Oryctolagus cuniculus: one gene and its partners. The protein of the gene in region 2 purifies or fractionates together with the protein of the main gene of each other region. This does not show direct contact. Links are inferred from orthologs where the notes say so. Each region holds a gene or a part of one and is shown on either strand. Other genes may lie near its edges. The genes, in order: NIPSNAP1, SQSTM1, PINK1, TRIM13, PML, SESN2 and NOD2.

Region 1 (3,656 bases), on a different chromosome or scaffold from region 2:
TGAATTTGAGTCCCTCCTCTGCTTCTGACCCCAGCTCCCTGCTGATGTGCACCCGAACGGGAGCATTTGGGACCTTGCCACCCATGTGGGAGTCCCAGGTGGAGGACATTTGGGCTCCTGGCTTCAGCCTGGCCCAGCAAAGGCTGTTTTCAGTGTTTGGGGAGTGAACCAGCAGGTGGATGATCTCCCTCTGTCTACCTCTCTACTTGTCAAATACATTAAAAAAAAAAAAAAAAAAAGTCAGGATCCCACCCCTTGAAGTTCATTTCCCAACTAGCAAACACTTAAGGAGAATCCACTCAGGGCCTGGAGTTGATCAAGCCAGGCCTAACGTGGGAAAACTGCAGGAGCTGAACCTGAAGGCGAGGTGCTTTTCTCTGATCCCTTTACTCAGTGTGCCCACACCTGTTACTGAAACAGGGTACGTGATGAAGGAGCTCTACCTATGTGCGACAGTCTACCTAGCTCAGTCCTAGATTCTTTTTTTTTTTTTTTAACAGGCAGAGTGGACAGTGAGAGAGAGAGAGAGACAGAGAGAAAGGTCTTCCTTTGCCGCTGGTTCACCCTCCAATGGCTGCTGAGGCTGGCGCACCGCGCTGATCCGAAGCCAGGAGCCAGGTGCTTCTCCTGGTCTCCCATGGGGTGCAGGGCCCAAGCACTTGGGCCATCCTCCACTGCATTCCCGGGCCACAGCAGAGAGCTGGCCTGGAAGAGGGGCAACCGGGACAGAATCCGGCACTCCGACCGGGACTTTTTTTTTTTTTTTTTTTTTTTTTTTTTTTTTTGACAGGCAGAGTGGACAGTGAGAGAGAGAGAGAGAGAGAGAAAGGTCTTCCTTTTTCCATTGGTTCACCCCCCAGTGGCTGCTGCGGCTGGCACATTGTGCTAATCCGAAGCCAGGAGCCAGGTACTTCTCCTGGTCTCCCATGGGGTGCAGGGCCCAAGCACTTGGGCCATCCTCCACTGCACTCCCGGGCCACAGCAGAGAGCTGGCCTGGAAGAGGGGCAACCAGGACAGAATCCAGCACCCCGACCAGGACTAGAACCCGGTGTGCCGGCACTGCTAGGCGGAAGATTAGCCTATTGAGCCGCGGCGCCAGCCTAGTCCTAGATTCTTACAGATACACAAGTATCAGGGCTGTCAAAGGGTGAGACGGGCCGTCTTACAAGGAAGTGAGCCCTCCACTGCTGACAGCATTCAAGGGAGGGTTAGAGGACCATTGCTCTGCGCTATGCAGACAGGCTAAGCTGGCACTGCCCAGAAGGGCTTCCCGTTACAATGAAAATATTCACTAGCGACACTATCCGAGATGGCAGCCATGAGCCACATGTCTATCAGGGGGCACCTGAAACGTGGCTGGTGTAACTAAGCAACTGAATTGTCCATTTTATTTAATTTCAATAAAAATTTTATTTTATTTAATTTTAAGACATTAGGGGCCGGCATTGTGGTGTAGTGGATAAGGCCACCACCTGCAATAACAGCATCCCATATGGGCGCTGATTCACGTCACAGCTGCACCACTTCCGATCCTCCTCCCTGCTAATGGTCTGGGAGAAGCGGCTGAAGTGGGAGACTGGGATGGAGCACCTGGCTTTTGGTTTCAGCATGTAGCCCGGGCTGTTGCGTCCATCTGGGGAGTGAACCAGATGGAGGATCTCTCTCTCTCTCTCTCTCTCTCTCTCTTTGCAACTCTGACTTTCAGATATGTAGATAAATCTAAAAAAAAATTAACATTAAATTTCTTATACCATTTTTACTTATTTGAGAGGCAAAGAGACAGAGAGAGGGAGACAGACAGATGCAAAGAGAGAAAAAGGTATTTCTCAATCCAGGCTCTCCCTTTCAAATAAACCAATCTATCTTTACAAACAAACAAAAACAAACCCAGGCGCTCCAATACGGGATGCAGGTGTCCCACGTGGCAGCGTAACCACCAGGCCAAATGCCCACCCCCAGTGTAAATGTAAACAGCTACACGTTGTTAGCGCTACCATTCTGGATAGTGCAGGTCAAGGCCGAGGCCCCATGAAGGGGCCAATTCACGTGTGGGTCCTAGCGGCGGGTGCCAACTTCGGTGGGTTATGTTGGGGTGGGATGGAGCATTCTGGGGGTGCTCCTGGAAGCTGTAAGGAGCCAGTTTATTCCACAACCATGTGCTGCACACTGGGAGTTCAGCGGTGCACACAACCCTGCAGCCCCAGAACTCACCACCTAGAGAGGGAGACGGACAGCTACAGGTGCGAATGATCGGGGGCAGCGTGGCCAAGCACTGGGCGTGCGGAGTGAGGGGAGGTGACACTGACGCCAAAACAAAAGCCAGTGAGCCAAATAAGGTGTGAGAGAACAAGAGCTCGGAACAAGAAGGCTGAGGCGTGCACTGGGGACTGAATGAGGAGAGGAGTGGGAGACGGGGCTGCCTGTCCAGGCCCTGCAAAGATTCAAGATGCAGGCTGGGTCCCTGCTACAGGAACGAGGGACAGCAGTGCACAAGGCAGAGGTGGCACCATGAGGCTGTTGGCTGAGTGAGGAAGGGCTGGAGCCTTGGAGGCCACGCCGAGGACCGAGGGAGCTGAGGTGGGTGCTGGGGTGATCAGTTGTGCATTTGGGAAGAAGCCCCCCACCCAGTGCGGGCAGTGGAAGGCAGCCAGGTGTGAGACGCTGGCTGGGCAGCGGTGCTGGGGAGGTGGGCACCTCCTTACCTGCCTGGTCCTGCTCCCCATACCACGTGTTCCAGTTGCCCACGAGCGAGCAGGGGTAGTCCTCATCCAGGTGCAGCTTGGGCAGCACAGCTTCCCTGGGGGAGGAGCACAGAGAAGGGGCAGGGCTCAGACCAGCTCCAGGAACCCCCACAGGAGGGTCCCAACCCAGGCCCCCAGGGCAGGGTTCAGCCTCCCATGGCTAAGAGGCAGAGGTTGGACTTCCGGCTCTGAATCTACAGATTCCCGAAAGGGGCAGTGGGAGTTCTGAGATCTGCCGGGATGCGGGCCCCCACCCAGGCAGGCACTGGCCCGGGCAGCTGGAGGACGATGCTCACGTCAGGCTGTTGTAGGCATCCAGACACTCAGGCTTCACGTTGTGAACTGCGAGGAGAACACAGGGTGCAAGGTGAAGCAGGGCGTGTGCGTGGAGGCGGGGCAGTCAGGGGGCTCCCAGGACAGCCCGGCAAGGCCCCCAGAGAGCCCACGGGGCTGGGCAGCTCAGCAGTCACTCACACTGGATCTTGTACAGGTTGCTGGTCTCCTTCTTGGACAGCAGGGTGGAGTGGGCGTCCTTCCGGGGATCCACCTTGTGAACAAAGAGGGAGCGGAACCAGCTGCCTTCAGTGTCCTTGGAATAGAAACTGTGGGACAGACGTATTCAGGGGGGTGGGCAGGAGTAGCCCCCACAGTTCCCTCTGCTTGGATGCCCTGCTGCCCCAGGCTGGCGGCCCCTGTTTCTGGGAACAGGGCCACAGGATCCCGTGGCAGCTCGAGTGTGAGACGCCACCAGAGACCGCTGGGCAGGTTCGGCCTCTTCTGTAGAAAGGACCCAGTCTGCATCTTGAATCTCTGCAGGGCCTGGACAGGCAGCCCCACCTCCCACCTCTCTCCCACCTCCTGGCCTCCATGACCCCTCCTTCCCCTCCACTTGGCCCACACAAGATCAACCCCAA
Region 2 (4,089 bases):
AAGCACCGCAGCGGGGGCCAAAGGAGCACTGGTGGCCTCAATACTCAACTTGCCACCTTCTTATTTATTTTTGAGACATGGTAGACAAGCAGAGCTCCTATCAAGGGCCGGGACTGGGCTGGGCAGAAGCCAGGAACTCAATCCAGGGCTCCCATGTAGGAGGTGAGGACCCAATTACTTGAACTTTCACCTACCCCCTGCCAGCATCTGTCCTGGCAGGAAGCTGGAGTCGGGAGCTGGGATCCAACACGGGCCCCAGGTATCTTAATGGGTGAACTAACCACTAGGCCTGATGCCCACCAAGGCCACTTCTTTAGGGGTGGGGCTGGACAGATCGGGGATAAGAAGGGAGCCTGCCCATTCACTGGACAGGAAGTGTGCCCGCCTGGGCCTGAACCTGGGCCACGGTCACACCTAAAAGGCAAAGTTTCCGCGTACACTACACGGACAATAACAGTGCCCTGTCCCTCAGAGGCCCAGCCCGCCAAAGGCTCTGGGCTGTCTGCAATGTTTAAGTGGAGATGAGCCCAGAGGCCTGCTGCTTTCTCCAACGAAGAAAAAAGGCTGAGTCCTTCTATGTTGGCTTCCGTGATTTTAAAGCATTGCCACACAGACCAGACCAGACCGCACCGTGCACAGGCTGCAGGCGGGGCCTGGACTTGGGCACCAGAGGGCAACATCTACCCTCAGAGCAAGAGTGGCACTTTTGCGAAACAACCCAAAAGTCCATCAACTAATGACACAAACACGATATGGCATATCCACAAAAGAAACGAATACAGATGCAGCCTACACCTCTGATGAACCTGAACGCATTTCCCTAAGGAAAGAAGCCAGACACAAAGCTAAACTGTACAACCCCCTCTCCACCACTGTCCAGAAGAGGACGCCCAGGAGAGAAAGCAGCTCAGCGTTGCAGGAGCTGAGGGAGACAGGTAAAAGGCATGGGGTTCCAGTGGAGAGGAAGGGGTTCTCATGCTGACTGCCAGCGCCTGGCCCCGCTCTCCAGCCCCAAGTCTGCTCAGAAGTTCCAACTGGTGAATGTGTTAAAGACCACTGCATCGGGGCAGGCATTTCTGCAGCGGCTAACTGGCAGCCCGGAACACTGGCAGCCCATATGAAAGTGCCTGGTTGGAGTCCAGGCCACTCCACTTCTGATCCCGTTTCCTGCTAATGTGCACTGGAGGAGGCAGCAAAGGATGGTTCAAGTGCCTGGGTTGCTGCTACCCTCCTGGGAGACACTGATGGAGTTCAGGCTCCTGGCCTGGCTGGGGCTGGCAGCTGTAGCCATTGGGGAGTGAACCAGCAGATGGTAGGTTGGGGTGTGTGTGTATGTGTCTCTCTGCCCTTTCAAAATGAAATAAAATTTTAAACCCTTGAATTATATACTTTAAATGAGTAAATTTTATGGTATGTGAATTACAGCTCAATAAAATTGTCACCAGGAAATTAAAAAAAAAAAAAATGCTGGGCAAGCTACTGAGGGCGGTCCCAGCCCTGCTCCCTCCCAGGGGCGGGCCTTGGCCGAGGACCTCCCTCCCACACTGCTGTCCCGGGACCCCACCCCCAGCAGCAGCTACCGGTCTGAGCAGCGCAGCCAGAAAGAGCGGTGGCTCCGGGCTTGTCCCCACTCTGAGTTTGTGGAGAACGTTTCGACATCGGCCGTCTCCCCACTGCCTTGTCCCTGGGCGACCTGCGGCCTACCCCGGGCTCAAGGGCCCTGCGTCCCCCAGCCGCCCACGCCCACCACCCACTTTCAGGGCTCGCTGAACGCAAACCTGGCGCCGGCGGGCCCAGCCCCGGCAGCAGCAAGATGTCAGTGTAACCCGAGTGCCCGCCTGACCACCTTCTCAGCCCAGGGCCAGAGAGGACGCCCCGGCGCGTCCTTGGCGAGATCTGCAACATTATGGCGGGGAACAGGAAGCATCTAACGACCCAAAGTCCCCAGCCCGCGGGGCCTGATCGCCTCGGCCCCTGAGGGACAGGGCCTGGGTCACTGGGCTGGCACCCGAGGTGCAAGTGGGGTACGCGCAGGTCACCGCTCACCCAGAGCGCGACCAGCACAGCATCCCTTCCGACGCAGCCGGCACCGACTAGGAAAGGGCAGCCCCGGACCCCGGCCACCCCCCGGCCCGCTCACCGCGGTAGTGCGCCTGGAAGCCGCCGGGCCGCAGCGCCGGGAACAGAGCGGCCACCCGGGCCAACAGCCGCTCGCAGGGCCCGGGGCCGGCCGCTGCTTCGGCCTCGGCCTCCGGCTCCGGGCTGAAGCAGAAGCTAAAGCGGCGGATCTCGCGCGCCGCCTCCTCTTTGCCCAGGAGGTAGGCCTTCACGGTGAGCGACGCCATCGCAGCCGGAGAACGACGAGCAGCTGCGCAACCGAGGGAGCACCGGAGGAGGCGGCGGCGGTGGCGCCAGTGGCGCGTGGCTTTTGTAGGGCACGCGGAAGCCCCGCCCGACGTGGACTCCTGGGGGCGGAGCCTGCACTCTTCGGGTGCCGCCCCCCACCGCCGGGGCCGCCTCTCGCGAGTCTCCCTGCCAGGGCCCCGTGCCTGCTTGCCCCTCTCCCCGCTGCCCTTTGACATGGTCTACCGCTCTCAGTCTGTCCCCTCATTGCCCCCAGGGCACCGGAGACCCCCAGAGCAGGCCTCAGCATCTGTACCTCCTGAAAGGAATGGGCTGGGGTCCTGTCCGAGGCCCCTCTCCGGCTTGGGCCTGGCTGTGACTCAGCAGAGCAGGTCCCTGGTCATCAGCAGGGGTTGCCCAGCACAGGACAGAGGAGGACACACAGAGCCCTCTATCCCAGGAGGCATCTAGGCTGCCCAGTGGGCACCACCAGCCGGAACCAGCTGGCTGCTAGGGTACCCTGCTGCCCTGCCATGCGTGACCCCCAGAAGGCAGCCCTACACCAACCACAGCCTCCTGCATGAGCGTCCCTAGCTGTCCAGGGCCGGCTGGCCGGCTCGTCCACTAGCGACGGCAGTCAGTCACCAAGTGCTGACTGCAGCTCAAAAAGACACATGGACGCCCCCAGCCCTGTGAGCCCAGCAGGCTGAGCCTGACGCCCCAGGCCCTTCCTCACCATCACCAGGAATGGTTGATCAGGGGTCCTTGTTTTAGCACAAGAACTTCAGCCATGGGACAGAATAGCAGCAAGCGTGCTGGCCAAGTCTGATGAAAAGAATGCACCTGACAGAGTAGGCGGGCATCTCCATCAAGAGCTGAACCCACCTGCTTTCAGACTGGGGTTTCTATGGATACGGGTATAGCCCTCTTTCTCCTCTCCCCTCCCCTCCCCTTCTGGGACACGTCTGGGGGAAGGGCTTCCAGAGTGTGGAATTCCTGAAATTCCTCCCAGAACTTCATCAGCAGTATTATTGGACCTAATAGCCACACACACACACACACACCCCCCCAATGCAGGGCAGGGATTTCTCTAAGCTGCCCCTGGGAAAAGGCTGGGACCCACTCAACAAGGTTATAGAAGGAGACCAAGGCTCTTTTTTTAAAAATGTGTTTATTTATTTTACAGGCAGAGTTTTGGATAAAGAGAGAGGTCTTCCCTCTGCTGGTTCACTCCCCAAATGGCTGCAACAGCCAGAGTTGAACTACTTCGAAGCCAGGAGTTCCTTCCAGGTCTCCCACGTGGGTGCAGGGTCCCAAGGACTTGGGCCATCCTCCACTGCTTTCCCAGGTCATAGCAGAGAGCTGGATCAGAAGAGGAGCAGTCGGGACACAACCGGTGCCCAAATGGGATGCGGCGCTGCAGGTGAAGGCTCAGCTGCTGCGCCACAGCACTGGCCCCACCTGAAACTAAGACTTTTGAGATGTAAATACTGCTCTGCTTCCCAGGCTTGCTTCTGTGGTTCTTCCCTCACCCAGCCACACAAATTCCCATTTCTTCCCTCTCACAGATGCAGGCTGCCTAACAGACCTGTCAGGGCAGGGGGCCAATGCAGCAGGTGCCTGCCTGTAGGGCCTCAAGAGTGTTGGCCACAAGGGCGGCCAAGGGGATGGGACCAGTCACCTTTCAGCTGGGAATCCAGAAACTCTGCTTCCTGGGACCAAAGTGACCTGTCTGCAAGGCCTGGG
Region 3 (3,656 bases), on a different chromosome or scaffold from region 2:
GCCCAGCTGACATCCTGGCCGAGACCCAGGGGCTGCCTGCCGGGCACCAGCCCCCAGGACGGGTGCCTGCTCCAAGGGCAATGGGTCTACAGTAACATGGGAGTCGGTGGGGGGTGCGGCCACGCACGTGCTAAGCTGCTGCGTCAGGAGCCGTCCGTCCTGGGGCAGCTTGGCGGAGTGGAGGGGTAAGTGCAGACGGATGACGGAGAAGCAGGAGGTGCACCTCGCGGGGGGCTCCTAGGAGGTGCAGGCAGGGGACACTCCCGGGGGCTTGTGGGGCAGAGCTGCTCCCGCCACAGCCGTCCTGCACTCCATGGATATGCGCCTATGGCACAGCCGGACGGCAGCGAATCTACAAAGACGTCTGATTTATGACTAAATGGTGGGGGGCTGGCTGTGGCGTAGCAGATAAAGCTGCAGCCTGCTGGCGTCCATATGGGCGCCAGTTCGAGACCCAGCTGCTCCACTTCTGATCTAACTCTCTGCTATGGCTCCTGGCTTCAGACTGGCGCAGCTCTGGCTGTTGTAGCCATCTGGGGAGTGAACAATCGGACAGAAGATCTCTCTCTCTCTCTCTGCCTTTCTGTAACTCTGCCTTTCAAATAAATAAATAAATATTAAAAAAAAGACTACATGGTGGGTTGGCATTGTAGCACAGTGGGCAAAGCCACCACCTGTGACGCTGGCATCCCATGTGGGTGCCAGTTCAAGTCCTGGCTGCTCCATTTCCGATCCAGCTCTCTGCTAATGTGCCAGGGAAAGTAGTGGAAGATGGCCCAAGTGCTTGGGTCCCTACTCTTGTGGGAGACCCAGAGGGGGCTCCTGGCTTCGCTCCGGCCCAGTGCTGGCCATGGCAGCCGTCTGGGGAATGAACCAGCAGATGGAAGACTCTCTGACTCCCCCCTTCTCTGCAACTCTGTGAAAATCAATCTGGGGGGGGGGCTGGATGACGATTCATGCTGTGAAATGACAGAGGGGCGTCAGGCAGGTGACATCACAGCAGTGAGGATTCACGTCCGCCCTGGGCAGCTGTTTCCTGCACAGAGGGCTGGGGAGGGGAGGGCGGCAGCACCACGCTCCTGGGGCCCAGCAGGGACTCAGCCACCCGGGACTCTTCCAGGCCACAGGGCTTCTCCATGCCTATCCCCACACGTCGCTGTCTTCCTGCGCCTGACGGGACTGAGATGGGAAAGCCAACCCTCCACTCTGTCACCAGCACCGCAGCTGTCCCGCGGCTCCCTGGGGGGCGCCGCTGACCCAGCCGGCATTTGCAGAGCCGGCCTGGCCTGCAGGCTGCCGTGCACCGTCCAATCAGCTCTTCCCTCAGCTGAGAACACCCTCCACAGGGAGCACGCGCTCCCTCCGCGTGGCCTGGCCCTGCAGGGAGCGTACGGCCTACCGGGCACCTGGGCAGACGCTGCCCTGGCACTGCCAACACTGGCTCTGCTCTGCGCTGCGCTGGCCGGGCTCTGCCCACACGCAGGACTCTGGCACGACACAGCACTCTGGTGCCGGCAGCGCAGGGAGCTGCTGGTGCAACGGGCCCCGAGCGGGCGTAGCCACTAGGTGGCGCTGCACACCGCTTAGGAGGAGTCTGGGGCCTCGTCCACTTCCCCCGCGTTTGGAACTGGGCATTTGCGAGTGGCCTTTCTCCCCTGCTCTGATGTGAATTCGCCATCTGCATCAGCTGGGGCCACGTGATCTGAAATCTTTGCCAAGCTAAATTCTCCCCCGACTGAAAACCCGCCTGATCAAATGATTCGGGAAACATTTGTTGCTGTGTCACATCTGGCATCGCGCTGAGTGCGGGGACCCAGGCGATGACTTGGCTCTCAAAGAACTCAGCTGGCCAGGTGGGGGGGGGGGCGCTCACCTGTGCGTGACCGCTCCGTACTCCCCGGCCAGGGCCACTCGGCTGGCTGGGACGAGCTCCTGGCTCATGGTCCTGAAGATGGCCTCGCTGGAGGAGCCGGCCTGCAGCGGCAGCAGGAAAGACCAGGGTTACACAGACGCGGCCGCGTGCCTGGGGCCAGCTCTGACCTTCAGGCGGAGGAGGCAACGCTGTGAGGTGGGAAGCCAAGCCTCCACACTCCCGGTCCCAAGGCCCGCATCCCAGCCAGAAACTGCACGCGCCGGTATGGAGCGCGGGGGGCCGGGCCGCTCTCTGCCTCCGCCGTGGGTGCGTGTTCTGAGCAGGGGCGTGCCAGGGGTGGATTAATTCTCTAAACCCAACCTCGACGGGTGGGGAAAGATTCCTCTAACAGACAGACCCACGCTCATGTCGGGGAAAGTATTCTACTTGCCAGGGCCTTCCGAGAGCTGAGAGCGGGGCTGACAGGCGAGGCCTCCAGCTGGGGGTGGGGGTGGGGCGGGGGGGCCGGCTCCTCGCCAGCATGGTGGTGGTTCCAAGCAACGGCCGGCCAGACGTGAGCCCACCGATGGGTCTGGAAGCCACTGGTGCGGGCACTCGCTCCTGCGTGGCCCACAGACCCACTGCACTGGCACCCCCCAGGAGCTGGCTCCAGAGGCAGGACCCGAGGCCCCCCCCTGAGCTGCTCAGTCCCAGGTGGCTGCGGACAGGTTACAGGGAGCTCTGGACCCCGGGAGAGATGGCGAGGGGGCGGGGCCACACGTTCCCTAGCTCCCGCCCGGAGGACCCTCCCCAGGGCCCACCAAGACCCCGCGCTGTGGGCGACGCCGACTCAGCAGAGGAAGGGCCGCCCTTACCGAGATGTTCCACATCATCTTGATGGCCAAGGGAAAGGCAGGGGTGGCGGGAGCGTGCGCCTCCTGGGCTCCTGCTGCCGCGGGATCCGGGCCGCTCCCCGGGCGCCGGGCACCCTGTGCCACCTCCAGGCGCACAGGCAAGGCGGGCATGGCGGCTTCGTAGACGGCGGCGCTGCAGCCCTTGCCGATGGGCTGCCCGATCAGGTACTCCTCCAGCTGGAAGCCCTGCCGGCGCCTGGCGGCCAGCGGGTCGGCCTCCAGCCTGCTTCTCTGGGTGAAGATGGCCTGCGAGGGAGAGAGCGCTCCGTGAGCCAGGGAGCCGGGAAGGGAAGGAAGAGAGCCGGCGGGGAGAGGTGTTCCGAGGCAGGGGCCTCACACCCACAGTCCCAGAGTCCATAAAAACCCAACCGCACCGGGCCTGACTGCTCCCCGGGGCTCGGGCCACTCTGCCTGAGCACATTTTCACGTCCTTTCCCTGCACCGCGATGACAGGCACAGCCCAGTGTGGCGGGGGCGAGGTCAGGACGTCTGAGTCCCGGGGACACATGGTCCTCTGCTGCCCCCACCCCGGCAGTCCTGCAGCCGCCTGACTGTGCAGCCGGCTCCCCACAGGGCCCTGGCCCTGGCCCCGCGGCAGGCAAGCAGATGAGACCAGGCGCGCCCCGGAGCAGTCACTCAGCCCTGCCTGGCTGTTGCTGCCTCTCGGGCCTCTGGTGGGTCACCCGGTTCAGTACAGGTTCTGCCAGGGGCAGGTGGCTGCTGGGCCCTGCGTGGTGCTAAGGAAACAGCCTATCCCCGAAACGCTGGGCTCGCCTCCGCGTCAGACTCAGGGCCGTCACCTCACCCGCCCAGGCGCTGCTTCCTCTCGGAGAGTCTCATATGCCGATCCCTCCCGACTCTCATCAGTCACCATGGGCACGAGGGCGCAC
Region 4 (3,932 bases), on a different chromosome or scaffold from region 2:
ATGTCTTGTTCCTTGACAAAAAAGAAGGGGAACTAGAGAGCAGTTCTTAGCTTAGGTAACTTTTTTGTTTTCATATGAAGGTAAGGTGAAAATATTAAGTAATTTTATTCTGTGATAGTGCATTTTTCTCATGTGAGCAGATAGAGGGCAGCCTTAGTGTTCAACTGTTTACTTTGTACTTTATAACAACCAACAGATTATTTCACCTATTATTAGTCTAAAAATTCTGCAAGTGGATTGGTTTGGTTGTACAGTAGCCCTGGTACTTTGGAACAACAAAGTACTGAGCTATCAGTAGAAAGATGGCTTTCCCATTTCTTGCTTTTGCCATGCACTGGATCTCTTTAAATCTGCCTATGTACAGCCCCCTAACACTTCTGCAGTTAATCATATTTCATGAAAATCTTAAAAAAACAAAAAGGTAAGCTAAAACCTTCACCTTCTTGAAAAATGTAAATTCATCACAGGAAAGTGCCAGTTTCTGTTTACAAAAGATTTATATTTTGATTAGAAATGAATCAGCCCTCTAGAAAAGTGGGGAAATCCATTCCATCCACATCATGTTTCCTTAAAGAATGTTCACTATGCAAAAAGTGCTTTACAAGAGTAGTCTTTATTTCATGCTTGATGGACAATCACTGTTATACTACCTACCTTGTCAATACAATAGATAACCATATGCTCTCACTTCCCATTTTTAATCCCAGCATAAGCACAATCAATACTGTGGGCAGAAAACTCATTTCAAAGTCACTCTTTATAAAGGAAGGATGGTCCAGGGCTGTATTAGCAAGTTTCCCTTTTATCCTTATGCTATCTAGTTTGAACATATGATTTTTTTGTTTCAGTTTTTATTTGAGGATACAGAGAAAGCACATGCTCCTATCTGAGACAACTGGGGCTGGGCCAGGGCCAAGGCAGAAGTTAAGAGCAGCAAACTCAATCCACATCTGCCAGTGTAGGTGGCAGGAACCCAACCACTTGAGCCACTGCCTTCCTGAGTTCACATTAGCAGGAATCTGGAGCCAAGTATCAAACCCAGACACTCCAATGTAGGACAACATGCCAGATGCCACCACAGGACATTGTTTTTGAAGGAAATTTTTTTCGAGGAAAACATCTGACTGGAATCTTGACCAAAGTTGAATTACTATTCTAACAAATTCTAATAAAAGAACTGCATACATGAAACATATTTTATAATAGTTTATATTTGCACACAAAATCTGCCACATTGTTCAGCACCACCAAACTAAAATTCCTGAATTTTTCACTGAAAATGAGAAACCCATCTGTCACCTGTTCCCAGTAAAAAATGGATTGTTCTACAAAATCAGCTTTCTCAGTCAGATAAGAACTAAAGTTTGAAAGGTGGTCTTTCCATGCTGCCAATTCATCAAATAAAGACCATTCTAGGAATACAGTAGGACTGAAGAAAACAAGGAGGCCAAGCAGAAGGACCACCACAAGTAGCTGATAAAAGCGCCAGGGAATCTTGCTAATGAATGTGCTAGTGTCTTGAGGCAAAGAAAGTTTATCCACGTCTACTAATTTGATGTCCTCCCACTGACTGGTATCAAAGTTCTTCATTAAAGGGCTTGTGGGCAAATTAGAGGGAGGTAAAGGAGTTTCCTTGATTACTTTGATTTTCTCCCTGAACTCCTGCATCTGTTGCAGAAATATGATGGGCTCTGACACGTCTTTGAATGCCTCAGCAATGTTAAAGGCCATTCGTTGTTCCTGCAAGATGGTGTTGAGTTTGTTGATCTCTGGGTCATAGGCTTGCATCACTGCAAGTTTCATGGTCTCAAAGTCAGATAGGATTTCATTCTTCTTTTGATCCAGTGTATGTTGTAATTTCTCAAAAAACTCCTTCACTTTATCTGAATCTTTAGTCAGTAACTGTAGGGATTTCCTCTTGCTAGTTTCCAAGGTATCCAAGCGAGAAAGAGCATCTCCCCGACGCCATGTCTCAAAGCTCTGGAAGAGGGATTCAAAAGCATTCCTTTCCTGAGCATAGGCATCTTCAATAGAACAGAAGACATGCTTGGTGTGGTCACCACGGGTAGCACAGATCCCACAAATCAGCTGCATATCAGTCAGGCAGAAAATGTTTAGAGGCTGCCCCAAGTGTCCTTTGCACACTGGCATCTTGGGAGAAATCTTGATCTTGTTATACTTTTCCACAATACCCTTCAGGGAATAATTAACCTGCAGGCTGTTAACTCCAGTAGCTGATGTTTCCTTACGGCAGGTGGGGCACTTGAATGGCGATGGTCTCCACAACGAATTCCGCACATTCCCCTCTAAGAGACCTTCCAAGCATTTTTTGCAGAAGTTGTGTGAGCAAGGCAACACTCGTGGATCATCAAACAGACTGCAACAGATTGGGCACGTCAGATCTTCTTCAAGCAGCTCCATCACATCCTAGCACAGAAAAAGACATAACATTTTACCCCAGTAATCTCCTTTACTATGACTTTTATTAGAAAAAGCTATCTTCACATTAAAATGACCCTTCACTGAAATAACCAGCCAAACAAAAATAAGTGAGAAATCTGGGAAGGGAATGCACACCAAAGCAGATTTAATCTGCCGGGACTAGAACACGCTCCTCATTAGTGGGGCACCCTGTACACAAGGCCTTTGTGTGGACTTTCCAACAACAGTCTTTGGCTGAGACAGGGTTAGGACCAGGACAACTGCAAGTTGAGCCAGTAGGACCCAACTGATTGTTTGAAAACAGAGCGGACTACTAGCTGTCAGAAACAAAGCCACTCAGTGTCTATAATAGAATGAGTTCTTTACCCTGGGCCCACAAACATAAAATGGTATGCTATTTAAAAGAAAGAAGCACAGAAATACTATAAATCTAAGCATGTACCCTCCTGCAGACTTATATTAGAAGTTGGTATATTTTTCTATTTCCAAGCCAAGATTACAATCACTAAATTACAGGTAAAAGCACAAGATAGTTGTGATTCACTCTTCCCTAGGGAATTCAGTTTTTGTCATTTTTAAACTACAAAGCCAGTAATCAAAGCCATCTTATTTACACCATCAATTATCAAAGTGTGGGCAGAAACGTGGGTGTCCCTCTTTTAGGGCATCTGTGAGCTTATTTTCCTGATAGTAAAGGTGACATTTGCTTTCTGAACCCCTGTTAACATTTGCACTGACAGCAAAAGCAATGGCAGGATGGAGCTTTCACAAGAAAGCAAGGCAATAAGCAACAACAAATTGTGCCACCAGTCATTGTATTTATCACCATCGATTCCTGGTAGGGTTGTGCCACCAGTCGTATTTATCACCATCAATTCCTGGTAGGGTTGGGAGCCAGATTCATTTACGAATGTTCCTGATGAACAGGAAAAGTATTAATTTTATTATACCTCAATCCTTGTATGCATGTCTTTTTTTAATATTTGACAAAATGAGCGGTACATATACAGCGCTTCTGCATACCAGAGTTGTTATGTGAGGAAAACCACTTATATATCTGAGTTGCAGGCTGAACCTACTGCTTTTTGCATAGCCAACCATGGCTGTTCAGATTTAGATATAGGATAGGCATTTTCTTGAAAATGAACAAAATGAGCTTGTTACTTCAAGGAAAGCAAGTAACAGTATTTCTTACCAGTGAAAAGGTTTTTATGTGAAAATTAGACTTTTGGAAAACATACTTGCCACTTCTGAGCTTCACAGCTTCCCATTAATTAAAGACTTTTCTGATGAAATCAATGGTTATATTACTTCATGTCTGGAGGTGGGGTGGAGTATTGTTTTCTTAAACGTCAGTATTTGAAGATTTAAATGACACTGAGCTATTTTCTCAAGTCTGCATGCGTAATGTTGTGCACAGATAAAAGATCCATTTAAAGTAGCAGACAGTCCAATAAGTTCTTTTTTTTTTTTTTTTTTTTTTTTTTTTT
Region 5 (3,656 bases), on a different chromosome or scaffold from region 2:
TCCAAGTCACAGCTGCGGCCGTCTCTCCCTCTTTCTCCCGTGGACTCAGGGTCCATCCTCGTGTCCACCCTCACAGGGGACAGGGTGCCCATCATGGGGGAGATGGATTCAGGGAGGAGACCCCTCCCCAGCCCACCCTACCCTGGGCAGAGCCAGCTCAGGCACCTCTCCAGGCCTCCACCCAGCACCAGGCGTCTGCAGGGTGCACTCCTCCTGTGCGTGCCCCACCCCCTCCCCACTGGGGCTGTGGGTGCTGCAGGACCTCTGCTGCTCGCTGCCCTGGGCTCCCCGGGGTCCCCCTGCCTGCTTGGCCGTGTGCCTCCTACAGAGACCCCAGCCGTCCTGGCTTCAGGCTGAGTCTCTCTCTCTCTCCATGTCTCTCTCCCTCTCTCTCTCCATCTCTCTCCATCTCTCCCCCTCCCTCTTCCTCTCTCTCCCTCCCTCTGCCTCTCCCTGTCCCTCTCTATCTCTCTTCCTTTCTCCCCTTTTCCATCTCTGTCTCTCTGTATCTGTCTTTCTCTCTCTCCATCTCTCTCTCTCTCTCTCTCTCTCTCTCTCTCTCTCTCTCTCTCTCCCCTCTCACTCTCAGCACTTGGGGTCTGGGATGAGGCAGGATCTGTGGGGTCTGTGTGGGGATTTTCCACCCAAGTGCTGTGAGGACCCAGAGCTGAGTGACAGTGACAGTGACCGTCACCCGGGACCCTGCCCCTGCAGTCCTGGAGGCGCCTGCGTGGTCTGCACCGCCCACCCTTCCCCACTCCTGCAGCAGCTGGGGGCGCTGGACACATGGGGGGCAGTGTGTCCATGCCCCGGGCTCCCCGGAGACACTCAGGGCAGGGGGGTGCTGTATCCCCAACCCACAGGCAGGATTTCTCCTGAGAGAAGCAGAGGTGGCCCTGAGCCGCCTGAGAAGGGACAGGGAATGGGGATGGGGTGAGCGCTGTGTCCCAGCCCCCAGGGAGCTCCTGGGGACCTCCTGCTGCTTCCCCCTGGCTCCCAGCCCCGCAGGCCGAGAGCCCCCAGGAGAGGAGGGAGGAGGGCTCCAGGCCAGATGCCCCCTCCCTCTGGGGCGTGCAGCAAGGAGGGCGGGGCCCCGGCTCTGCTGAGGGGGGAGCAGGCTGTTCTGGTGGATGATGGACGTCAGTCAGGGAGGGTCTGGCTGCCCCGGGGTCCCTGCACCTCACCAGTGGGGGACGGGGGGCATTAGGCTGCCCCCAGGGTCCCTGCATCTCACCATCGGGGGGCGGGGGGCGTCAGGCTACCCCTGGGGTCCCTGCATCTCACCATCGGGCGGCAGGGGGCGGCAGGCTGCCCCTGGGGTCCCTGTACCTCACCAGCGGGGGGCAGGGGGCGTCAGGCTGCCCCTGGGGTCCCTGTACCTCACCAGTGGGGGGCAGGGGGCGTCAGGCTGCCCCTGGGTCCCTGCACCTCACCAGCGGGGGCAGGGGGTGTCAGGCTGCCCCTGGAGTCCCTGTACCTCACCAGTGGAGGGCAGGGGTCGTCAGGCTGCCCCTGGGGTCCCTGCACCTCACCAGTGGGGGGCAGGGGGCGTCAGGCTGCCCCTGGGGTCCCTGTACCTCACCATTGGGGGGCAGGGGTCGTCAGGCTGCCCCGGGGTCCCTGCACCTCACCAGCGGGGGGCAGGGGGCGTCAGGCTGCCCCTGGGATCCCTGCACCTCACCAGAGAGGGGCTGGGGGACGTCAGGCTGCCCCTGGGGTCCCTGTACCTCACCATTGGGGGGCAGGGGGCGTCAGGCTGCCCCGGGGTCCCTGCACCTCACCAGCGGGGGGCAGGGGGCGTCAGGCTGCCCCTGGGGTCCCTGTACCTCACCATCGGGGGGTGGGGGGCGGGGGGCGTCAGGCTGCCCCTGGGGTCCCTGCACCTCAACAGCGGGGGGTGGGGGGCGGGGGGCGTCAGGCTGCCCCTGGGGTCCCTGCACCTCACCAGCAGGGGGCAGGGGGCGTCAGGCTGCCCCGGGGTCCCTGTACCTCACCATCGGGGGGTGGGGGGCGGGGGGCGTCAGGCTGCCCCTGGGGTCCCTGTACCTCACCAGTGGGGGGCAGGGGTCGTCAGGCTGCCCCTGGGGTCCCTGTACCTCACCATCGGGGGGTGGGGGGCGTCAGGCTGCCCTGGGGTCCCTGTACCTCACCAGTGGGGGGCAGGGGTCGTCAGGCTGCCCCTGGGGTCCCTGTACCTCACCAGTGGGGGGCAGGGGGCATCAGGCTGCCCCGGGGTCCCTGCACCTCACCATCGGGGGGTGGGGGGCGTCAGGCTGCCCTGGGGTCCCTGCACCTCACCGGGGGGCAGGGGGCATCAGGCTGCCCAGGGGTCCCTGCACCTCACTGGGGGGCAGGGGGCGTCAGGCTGCCCCTGGGGTCCCTGCACCTCACCAGCGGGGGGCAGGGGGCGTCAGGCTGCCCCGGGTCCCTGCACCTCACCAGGGGGCGGGGTTGGCGTGTTGGTTCACGTGGAGACTCCCCGCCTATTGAGACGTCAGTGACCCTGGTAGTTTGAAAACACTTTGTTCTTGAGAACAAATGATTTTTGGAGGTTTTTCAGCGGGGAGTGGGGGTAGGGGGAGAGTGAAGATGGGGGAGGGGCCCTGGGGGGCTGGGAAGCACAGGGGAAGCTCCTGGCTCCCGGCTTCGGCCTGCCCAGCCCTGGGCATTGCGGCCATCTGGGAAGTGAACCAGCAGATGGAAGACCTCTCTCTCTCCCTCTACTGCTCTGCCTTTCAGATAAATAAACCCTTAAAAATAAGTTTATTTTATAAAGGAAACATCAATTCCGCGAATTCCTTTTGTACGCATTCTCCGCGTCCTGCAGCTGGAGGCACAGGCCGCCGCAGCTTTACTCTCGTGTGCTGCTCTGGGCCCTGGCACCAGCGCCATGAACGCTGCGTCGGGAAAGCGTGAACCTGCACACCTACTATGACTCAAACTCTGGCACTTTTATCTAGGGGATTTTTTTTTTCATCTGAATGGCAGAGAGACAGGCAGACGGGGGGAGGATCTTCCGTCTGCTTCCAAAAGCCCTTAAACAGCCAGGGCTGCAAACTGCCCGGATACCCCCGTGGGGGGCAGGGACCCGATGACCTGAGCCTGCCCCTGCGACCTCCAAGGGTGCGCCTCAGCAGGAAGCTGGATGGGAGCGGAGTTGGGACTGGGACTCGGGCACTCGGATATGGGATGTAGGGGGTGAGGTGGGTCCCAACAGGTGCGCCAAACGCCAGTGGGGTCTGGCAGTTTGGGAAGAAGCCGGCGAGCCCTAACCCAGACGGTTCTCCCGCAGCATCTACTGCCGGGGCTGCCACAAGCCCCTGTGCTGCTCGTGTGCGCTCCTGGACAGCGGCCACAGCGACCTCAAGTGCGACCTGAGCGCCGAGGTGCTGCAGCGCCAGGACGAGCTGGACGCCACGGCGCGCGCGCTGCGGGAGCGCGGCGGCGCCTTCGGGGCTGCGCTCGCGCAGGTGCGCGCGGCCATCGGGCAGCTGGGCCGCGCGCGCGCCGACGCCGAGGACCTGATCCGCGAGCGCGTGCGCCAGGTGGTGGCACACGTGCAGGCGCAGGAGCGCGAGCTGCTGCAGCAGGTGCACGCGTGCTACCAGCGCGACTATGAGGAGCTGGCGGCCCGGCTGAGCCGCCTGGAAGCCGTG
Region 6 (4,419 bases), on a different chromosome or scaffold from region 2:
TCCAGCCCGGTCACAACACTTTCTGCCTTCTGCGCCCCAGGGGCTTCCGTCCTGTCTTCCACCCTTCCACAGCTGCCACCCTCCTAAGCGAAACTTAGTAACGAGGTGCTCTGCTGAGTCTATGCTTACCTCATCCTCTGGCCACTCCCCCCTCTCTTCCCACTCCCTAAAACGTGGGTGCTCCCCTAGTTTCTGTTTTCATCCCTCTTCTCTCCAGACACACTCTCCCTGATCTCATCTGATTCCTGGTCTTCAGCTCTCCTCTTGCAAGGAAGTTGCATCTACAGCACCCCAGGGCCCAAAGCCAGGTTCAGCCTCCATTCACTTCCCACAGAGCCTCTTCCTCCATGTTTTTTCTTGACCCATTGGGTTTCAAGTTAAAAAAAAAATATTTATTTGAAAAGCAGTGTGACAGAGAGGAAGAAGGGGGTGGGGGAGGGGTCTTCCATCTGCTGTTGCCAGTGCTGGACCAGGCTGAAGCCAGGAGCCCAGGAGTCTCCCACGTGGATGCAGGGGCCCAAGGACTGGAGTCATCCCCCGCTGCTTTCTCAGGCACATTAGCAGGGAGCAGGACTGGAAGCTGAGTAGCTGGGACTCGAACTAGCACTCCAATATTTGATGCTGGCGGCCTAACCTGCTGCGCCACAGCACAGGCTCCTGTGTTTCAGTTGGAATGTCATTGTTTATTCTGGGCATGGGATCCTGGAGGGGGCAAGGATGGAGGGGATCTTGTCTAATCTGGGTTTAGATTCCAAGGATGAGCCTCTGTCTCGTTCTGCCTCCAGCTTTCTCAGACAAGGAAGCTAATCTAACCTACTGCTGAGCTCCCAAAGCACGTGGGCTGGGGTCTCTGTTTTAACACTTATCACATGTACTTTGTATTACAAATTGTGTTTATAGTGTCTTATCTGCTTATAAGCTTCTTTTATAAAAGATGTATTTATTTATTTATTTATTTGAAAGGCAGAGCTAGAGAGAGAGGGAGGGAGAGAGAAGGAGAGAGAGAGAGGGATCGAGAGATCTTCAATTCGCTGGTTCACTCCCTGAATGGCTGCAAAGGCCAGGACTGAGCCAGACCAAAACCAGGAGCCAGGAGCTTCCTCTGGGTCTCCCACATGCATTCAGGGGCCCAAGACTCAGGCCATCTTCTGCTCCTTTCCCAGGCACATTAGCAGGGAGCTGAATTGGAAGTGGAGCAGCTGGGTGCCCATATGGGACTATGGCTTAACCCTCTGCACTACAATGCTGGCCCAGTTATATGCTTCTTGAGGGCACCTTTGTCTCTTGTCCTATGTCACCTATCACAATGTTCTGCTAATAATATGCCCTAGAATCTTCAATTAAATTCCCCTGTTAGCTACCCTGTCAAATTCATTCTAAAAAGTTTACTCTATAATATCAATGTCCAGACTACAAAGTTCGATGTTCAAAATCTGCCAAGATGTGATTCAATTTATTTTGTCAGTTTCATCATGTGCCACACCCATGTTTCTTGTTTGGCCTTGAAACTTTTTTTTCAGTACTCCTTGTTGTAAATCCCTGACCACTGAAATTGTATCCAGCATTCAATGCCTTCACTGTTTTTTTTTTAATGATTTTTATTATTTGAAAGGGAAAGTGACACAGAGAGAGAGAAAAAAGAGAGAGAGAATTTTCCTGATCACATTACTCATCTCCCACATGGGTGACAGGGGCCCCACTACTTGGGCCATCTTCTGCTACTTTCCCAGGAATGTAAGCAGCGGGATGGGTTGAAAGTGGGGCAGCTGGGACTCTAACTGGCTCTCCGATATGGTATGCTGGCATTGCAAGAAGCAGCATAACCCACTGTGCCACAATGCCAGCCCTGATATTTTTGAATAAATATGTTATTCTCCTCTGCAGAGTAACCTTTTAGAATATTCCAGGACGTGATTAGATCATTCCCAACACTTCATTTACAAAGTGAGTGATTTGTGAGAAGGAAAAGCCAAAGAGGCTGATATACTAAACTGGGCAGTCTTTTGTCATGGAATCTGCAAGGAAGGAAAGACAGGAAGCGGCACAGTCACTACCATTAACTGGGCTACAGCAGGAGTGGCGCAGCTGCTGTCTCATGTAGCTCTCACACAACCCTGTGAAGCAGGTATTAGGGCACCATTTAACAGACAAGAAAACAGGCTTAGGAGGTGTGTTGGCCAAGGCCAGACGGCTTAGCATTCTGAGCCAGGACTCAAACCCAGGCATTTATGAATCCAAAGTAGAAACTCCAGCACACCCAAATGAGAGGACGACGTGAATCTGCAAGGAGCAGGCAGGCACAGGAACTGGTGCTTAGAGCAGGTGTATTAATTGGCAGTGAGGAACATAACTGTCAAGTGGCCTCTAATAGATGGGTCAGCACATCCCTCCTTGTAGGGGAGCATGTGTGAAAAGCCAAGTTATCCCCTGGAAATGGCCACAGCAGCTGGAGTCCTGGCAAAAGGAACCATGAACCAAGATGAATCACTGAACTCACTCGACTCAGAGCAAATCTGCCGGTCAGAGCTCCATTGCTTTCCTTCCTTTCATTCAGTAAATATTTATTGACCGTGGTGTGTGTACCAGACACTGTGCTGGGCTCTGGGAATCCAGCCATGAAGCTGCCAGCCCAGTGGGATGCCGAGAGGGTGGGGTGTGGCCCCAGCCTGGGCACATTCCTCCCCTCCCCCCTGCCTTGTGATTTTTGGTTCAGTGAAGATCTCTTCCTCCTGTTGCCATACTCTCTCGACTCTTGCATCAGCTATGTTGAGGCCACTGATTGGCCAAAGCTATTTTTATTCCTCAATTGCATTCCAGTCCTGAAGATAAGTCTAGATTGGATTTGAAATGTTTTTCAGGTTTCTTCCGGCTTCAGCTTCTCTTTCAGATTATGACTCTCACAGGATTCTCATCTGTTCTGGGTTTATTCTTCCTAAATTCATTTTCTAATCCCAAATTCCGGGGTGCCCTTGCTATGATAACCTTATATCGCCACCATTCCAGAGCTATGATTTATCAGCCCAAATGTCATTTTCTGAGTTCTTATTGTCTTCCTCCCTCAGCTCTCTGAATCTCAGAACACAACCCCTGCCCCAGGAGGTTTTCAAGGAAAGAAATCCCCCTCCCACAGGCTTGATAAAGTCAGAACAGATCCACTCTCCACCGGCCTATTCACACATTCATTCCATTACTCATGAAGCCCGCATGGTGCTCGGTGCTGGGGGAGGCCCTCCCTGCTCCAGCAGACTTGTTCTGAGCCGTCCCGCTACCCAAGCAGAACTGAAATTGTTCCCCCAGAGATGTGTACTGGGGGCAGCCATACACTCTTGGAGTCAGCTATCTATCTCCCAAGACCACATTCCAGGAGTCAGGCAACCGGGGTGCTAGCTTTTAGCTCTGCGATCCCAGCTGATTTTTGTCTCAGCTCTCAGAATCCGTTTCCTCATCCCTAAAACAAAAGAATTGACCTGAGCTGCTCTAACTTCCAGAGCCCCTGTCGAGGGAACTGGTGCTGCGCGGTGCATATGCTTCGCTTTGCTGGGTTGCGTCCAGGACAGAAACCCTCAGGTTTGGAAAAGCTCGCTCCTCTTATTAAAATAGGAAAACTAACCCGCTGGGTGCTTTGGGGCTATTTGCTTAGCGTTCCCGTTGAGTTTCGTCGGCTGCGTGAGCCCTCAGCGCCCCCTGCAGGTCGGGCCCTGCCACGGCTCAGCCAGAACTGGCTGGGGAAAAAGGGTGGCCCCAAGACCGCCCCCCAAACCGTTCCGCGTTTATAGATCTTTGGGTCCCGTGACATCGCCCAAAGGTCTGGCGAAAAGGCCAGGACCGTGTGGTTGCTGAAGACTTTCCTGCTGCCAGCAAGGGCCAGTCTCTCAAAGGGCTTCGCGGCCTGAACGGACATTGTTCCGGCTCTTAGCCTGGGAGCGGGGAGCCTCGGGTCCGGAGAGATTTTGCCCAGAAAGCTGACCACACAGTGGAGGCTAGAAACTTGAGATCGGCGACTGGATTTCACCTTAAGACTGCCTCACGGAGCCCCACTTTCCTGCCCTCCCTTCCCCCACCCCAACTCCTCAGGCTCGCCCTCACCCCTATATAGACCTGCCCTAGAGCAACACCCCTGGCTCTGGCCACCATCCTGTCCCAGCTCTTCCTACTCCCAAAAGACTTCTAAACCCCTCATCAGCAGCAAAGCCTGCAACTGGGATCGAGATCTGGGAGCTGAAGGTTCCAGTTCTACCCCTTTGCAGAGAGGTTTTCCTCCACAGTGCTGTTTGTCAAACCCCTTCGCGAGGCTTGATGGCAATGAAGAAGCTGTACTTCATTGATAACGCTCCTGGCTGTGTGGGTGCTCAAGAAAAGCGGCAAGGAGCGCTCCCTGTGAAAAGCTGGGAGCACGGGGCCCGGCACGTCTGAGGCGCT
Region 7 (3,656 bases), on a different chromosome or scaffold from region 2:
GCAACAGAAGATGGCCCAAGTGTCTGGGCCCCTGCCACTTATGTGGGAGACCCAGAAAAAGCTCCTGGCTTAAGCCTGGTCCAGTCTCAGCCATTGTGGTCATGTGGTCATTTGGGGAGTGAACTGGCAGATAGAAAATTCTCTCTCTTTCTCTCCCACTCTCTCTGTAGCTCTGAGTTTCAAATAAATAAATTAAAAAAAAAAATAAAGTCAGGAAAAAGGAAAAATGTCACAACTTGGTGTATTACTATTGGGAGTGAGTCTCCCATCCCTGAGGGTATGGGGTGGGTGGGCCTCTGTACCCCACCAGGAAGAAGGGGGCAGGTTCACGTTGCTGGGAGACCTGGCTGGAGTCGGCTGGGCCTGCAGAGAGCAGGAGTGCACTGGAGGGTGTGTGGAACATGTAGCCAACATGCACTGACACTGACGGTTCACTGTGCTGTTCTTCCCAGGTTCTGGGGCAACAAAGTGGGTGACAAGGGGGCCCAGGCCCTGGCAGAAGCCTTGAGTGACCATCAAAGCTTGAAATGGCTCAGGTAAGACTTCCTCTGCCCTACGGCGGTCATGTGAGAGCCAGGAGGAGCTTGAGCTGCCTTTGAAACTCTTTGAACTTCAGTTCTGCACTCCCATCCCCCGCCCCATCGCCACGTGAGGCAGTCAGGACACTGAGTCTCTCTGGGTGACTTTGGAGATAGCCTTTGCCCTCTCAAGGTCTTCATTCACTCCCCATGAATGGGAGATGCAGGGTAGGATCAGGAGCGTTTGTCTCAAGAAGCACGTCCAGTGCATTGATAGTGGCTGCCCAGTGTACCATGTTGGGGAGGCCTCTAAGGCTGCTCCTGGCCTTAAAGACACTATAATCGATTAGTGATGTCTTAAGTGTAAAACAGTCCTGTAGCCAGTTAGTGATGTCTGATATGGAGCAGACTGGAGAGTGAGGCTGTGTGTGCTGTTTTGCTCTTTGTACATCAGCTAATCTCTGAGGTCCCTCTGTGCTCTGACGTTTTTGCTCCATGTTTACATCCAGCCTGGTGGGGAACAACATTGGCAGTGTGGGTGCCCAGGCCTTAGCATCGATGCTGGAGAAGAACGTGGCACTAGAAGAACTCTGGTGAGTTTGGGGGGGTTCCCTGCTCATGAGAGGCAGTGAACAGCTTTCGTTGGTTCCCTGGCCGCATCCATGGGGCCACCTTGGAAGGCGGAGTGGAGTTCGGGGAAGTTGAAGGAGGAGCGTGGACTGTGCACACAGTGCTGACCTGCAGGGACTCCAAGTTCTCCATCCTTTAGATGCCACTGTAGGGTCTCCTGATGCGCTCTGGGCAGTTCCAGGTCCTAGCAGGGAGGAAAAAGGCTGAGTGTGGTTTCTTGAGGAAGGAGAAAGGCCCTGAAACCTTAGAGGCGTTGCTAGAAATCGGATGTAGGCATACCTCGGAAGTACTATGGGTCCTGTTGCATCCCAGTGCAGTAAAGCAAATCACATACTTTGTTGGTTTCCCCGTGCAGGAGAGTTCTGTTACCGCTCGTCTTCCAAGTGTGCAATTGCTTTATATCATAAAAAATAGTGTATACCTTAATTAAAATATCCTTTATTGCTAAAAAGGGCTAATGATTAGAAAACTGGTGCTGGCAGACCTGCTTAGCAGCAAAGATGCCACAGACCTTCACTTGGTGAAAAACCTGTCTCTGAGCACAGTGAAGGGAGGCAAACTTGTGCTACAACAGCCTTGGTCGTTGGCAGGGCTTGCTAGCTCTGCCAATTTGCCGCTGACTATATACTGATTGGATTCTGTCACTTGGATGTCTAAGTAGAGGAGCACCTCATTGTGAGTGCACCACTTACCACTGCTCTTAAAAACTTTAGACAAACTAAATTTGGCAGTGTTTACTTGAGCAAAGAATGCTCATGGATCAAGAAGAAAGACCCAGAGAGCTCCACCCAGCAATGTGGCCAAATAGTATTTGCAGAGGGTAAAGGGAGGTGACACACAGAGAGAGCTTGATGGGTTACAGCTCAGCATTTGAGATGAGCTGACAGCCTGTGATTGGCTGACGTTCAGCTGCTATGATTGGCTGAGACTTGGCTGTTTGTTATACGAATATACTCTTAGATTGCAATTTATTTATGTGCTAACTTAGGTTGCAGGTCACTGCATAGGAACTCAAAGTATGGAGGTGGCTTCAGGCCAAATTTAGGTTAGTTTAACACTATATGAAGCTGCAAGTGATAGGAAACCTTCATCTACAGAAGCTTAAGCCAATAAAAGGTTTATGTTTTCGTGGACAGGCAATCTGAAGGTAGGTGACATAGGGCTGGTGTCGTAGCTACAAAAGGCCTAGTTTCTGTGTCTTTCTGGTCCATCGTCCTTAGCCTATGACTTCATCCTTACAGTTGTTGCCCCCTAATCACAAGGTAGCTGCCCCTACCTGCGATATTACTTCTGTATTCCAGGATTCAGAATGGATACAAACCTGGAAGGAGGAAAGCCACAGGCTGGCCAGGTCTCTTTCCCAGAAACCCCTCCTGTCAACTTCCCCTTGTGTATCAAAGCCCTGTGTATGTCTCTTGCCCAGCTCTGGCTGCAGTGGATGTTGGGAAATTATTTTTTTTTTTCACTGAGTATGTGACTGCCCCAAATGAAATGAAGCTTCCATTAAAGAAAGGGAATATGGTTGCTGGGGTATGGGAGGAACTCATTATCTAGGAGAGCCCTGGGGCAAATTCCCTTGCAAAATTGTCCTGGAATTGAGAATCTGCCTGCCCTAACTTCATCCATGAACTTGGGTGTTCAGAAGTTGGATTTTCTAAATGGGAGGAGGTATGCAGATTAATCTCTATGCACATCATGAATGTGATCTCATCAGTGAGGTTTTCTCTCTTGTTCTTGCCAGCCTGGAAGAGAACCATCTCCAGGATGCAGGCGTGTGTTCTCTCGCAGAAGGACTAAAGAGGAATTCAAGTTTGAAAGTCTTGAAGTAAGGACCTCACCAGTGGTAGCTGGGGCAGTGATGGCCGGCCTTGGGGAAGGGGTGTTTGTGAAGTAGAGCCTGGGGCAGCTGTGCAGCCAGAGTAACTCACCCTAGGTGGACAGCAGCAGCTTGTGTTAGTCTGGGTCGACAAGGATTCCAGTGCCAACGTGGTTACCTGGGAGGTGGTCCAGCAAACACTGGTGGGAAAGTAGTGAAGTGAGGTGGGGGAGGGAAGGTAACCGATAGGGGCTGGTTCTTGAGCCAGTGATCACTGAGAAATTGGAGCTCAGTCCTGATGGGGCTCTACAGGAATGCAGAACATGGCTGGTTACCTAACCAGACAAGGGCACTTATCCACCATGTGCTGCTGCCTCATATGCTTCGGGGCGGGGAGTGGGGGAGGGTATGAATTCTCCAGCACATGCAGCTTTGGGGTCAGGAGCAAAGCCTCAGGCAGAGAGAGGCAGGTCCTGCCAGCCAGTGGCCCTCAGAGTTGGAGGTCAAAGCCAAGTGAATATGGATGGGCCGGTTGCTGATAGAAATGTCTCTCCCTACTCCAAGGCTGTCTCCCTCTTAGGTGGGATGGCCATCGCCGGTGGTTTCTCTTGTGTTGTGCAGCATGCACACTTACATTTATTCAGGTGATCATTCATTCATTCATTCATTCGTCATACATTCATTCATTTATG

What was found.
Region 1: the proteins of SQSTM1 (region 2) and NIPSNAP1 purify together in Homo sapiens (affinity purification with mass spectrometry; 4 studies listed by BioGRID and IntAct, with this or other methods). This does not show direct contact. The link is inferred for Oryctolagus cuniculus from reciprocal best matches to the Homo sapiens genes SQSTM1 and NIPSNAP1.
Region 3: the proteins of SQSTM1 (region 2) and PINK1 purify together in Homo sapiens (affinity purification with mass spectrometry; 3 studies listed by BioGRID and IntAct, with this or other methods). This does not show direct contact. The link is inferred for Oryctolagus cuniculus from reciprocal best matches to the Homo sapiens genes SQSTM1 and PINK1.
Region 4: the proteins of SQSTM1 (region 2) and TRIM13 purify together in Homo sapiens (affinity purification with western blotting; 3 studies listed by BioGRID). This does not show direct contact. The link is inferred for Oryctolagus cuniculus from reciprocal best matches to the Homo sapiens genes SQSTM1 and TRIM13.
Region 5: the proteins of SQSTM1 (region 2) and PML purify together in Homo sapiens (affinity purification with western blotting; 3 studies listed by BioGRID and IntAct, with this or other methods). This does not show direct contact. The link is inferred for Oryctolagus cuniculus from reciprocal best matches to the Homo sapiens genes SQSTM1 and PML.
Region 6: the proteins of SQSTM1 (region 2) and SESN2 purify together in Homo sapiens (affinity purification with western blotting; 3 studies listed by BioGRID and IntAct, with this or other methods). This does not show direct contact. The link is inferred for Oryctolagus cuniculus from reciprocal best matches to the Homo sapiens genes SQSTM1 and SESN2.
Region 7: the proteins of SQSTM1 (region 2) and NOD2 purify together in Homo sapiens (affinity purification with western blotting; 4 studies listed by BioGRID and IntAct, with this or other methods). This does not show direct contact. The link is inferred for Oryctolagus cuniculus from reciprocal best matches to the Homo sapiens genes SQSTM1 and NOD2.

Annotation. Positions count from the first base shown.
Region 1 is NC_091452.1:22,927,419-22,931,074, forward strand, and holds part of NIPSNAP1 (protein NipSnap homolog 1), read right to left. Parts: intron 3,345-3,656; coding exon 3,217-3,344; intron 3,085-3,216; coding exon 3,039-3,084; intron 2,799-3,038; coding exon 2,704-2,798; intron 1-2,703.
Region 2 is NC_091437.1:67,652,816-67,656,904, forward strand, and holds the start of SQSTM1 (sequestosome-1), read right to left. Parts: upstream 2,944-4,089; 5' UTR 2,583-2,943; coding exon 2,141-2,582; intron 1-2,140. UniProt on the Homo sapiens protein: Molecular adapter required for selective macroautophagy (aggrephagy) by acting as a bridge between polyubiquitinated proteins and autophagosomes.
Region 3 is NC_091438.1:150,131,989-150,135,644, forward strand, and holds part of PINK1 (serine/threonine-protein kinase PINK1, mitochondrial), read right to left. Parts: intron 3,013-3,656; coding exon 2,728-3,012; intron 1,975-2,727; coding exon 1,874-1,974; intron 1-1,873. UniProt on the Homo sapiens protein: Serine/threonine-protein kinase which acts as a sensor of mitochondrial damage and protects against mitochondrial dysfunction during cellular stress.
Region 4 is NC_091440.1:69,269,298-69,273,229, reverse strand, and holds TRIM13 (E3 ubiquitin-protein ligase TRIM13), read right to left. Parts: upstream 2,422-3,932; coding exon 1,198-2,421; 3' UTR 595-1,197; downstream 1-594. UniProt on the Homo sapiens protein: Endoplasmic reticulum (ER) membrane anchored E3 ligase involved in the retrotranslocation and turnover of membrane and secretory proteins from the ER through a set of processes named ER-associated degradation (ERAD).
Region 5 is NC_091443.1:109,465,479-109,469,134, reverse strand, and holds part of PML (protein PML), read left to right. Parts: intron 1-3,292; coding exon 3,293-3,656.
Region 6 is NC_091438.1:143,426,883-143,431,301, forward strand, and holds the start of SESN2 (sestrin-2), read right to left. Parts: upstream 2,891-4,419; 5' UTR 2,759-2,890; coding exon 2,498-2,758; intron 1-2,497. UniProt on the Homo sapiens protein: Functions as an intracellular leucine sensor that negatively regulates the mTORC1 signaling pathway through the GATOR complex. In absence of leucine, binds the GATOR subcomplex GATOR2 and prevents mTORC1 signaling.
Region 7 is NC_091449.1:34,272,638-34,276,293, forward strand, and holds part of NOD2 (nucleotide-binding oligomerization domain-containing protein 2), read left to right. Parts: intron 1-452; coding exon 453-536; intron 537-1,027; coding exon 1,028-1,111; intron 1,112-2,889; coding exon 2,890-2,973; intron 2,974-3,656. UniProt on the Homo sapiens protein: Pattern recognition receptor (PRR) that detects bacterial peptidoglycan fragments and other danger signals and plays an important role in gastrointestinal immunity.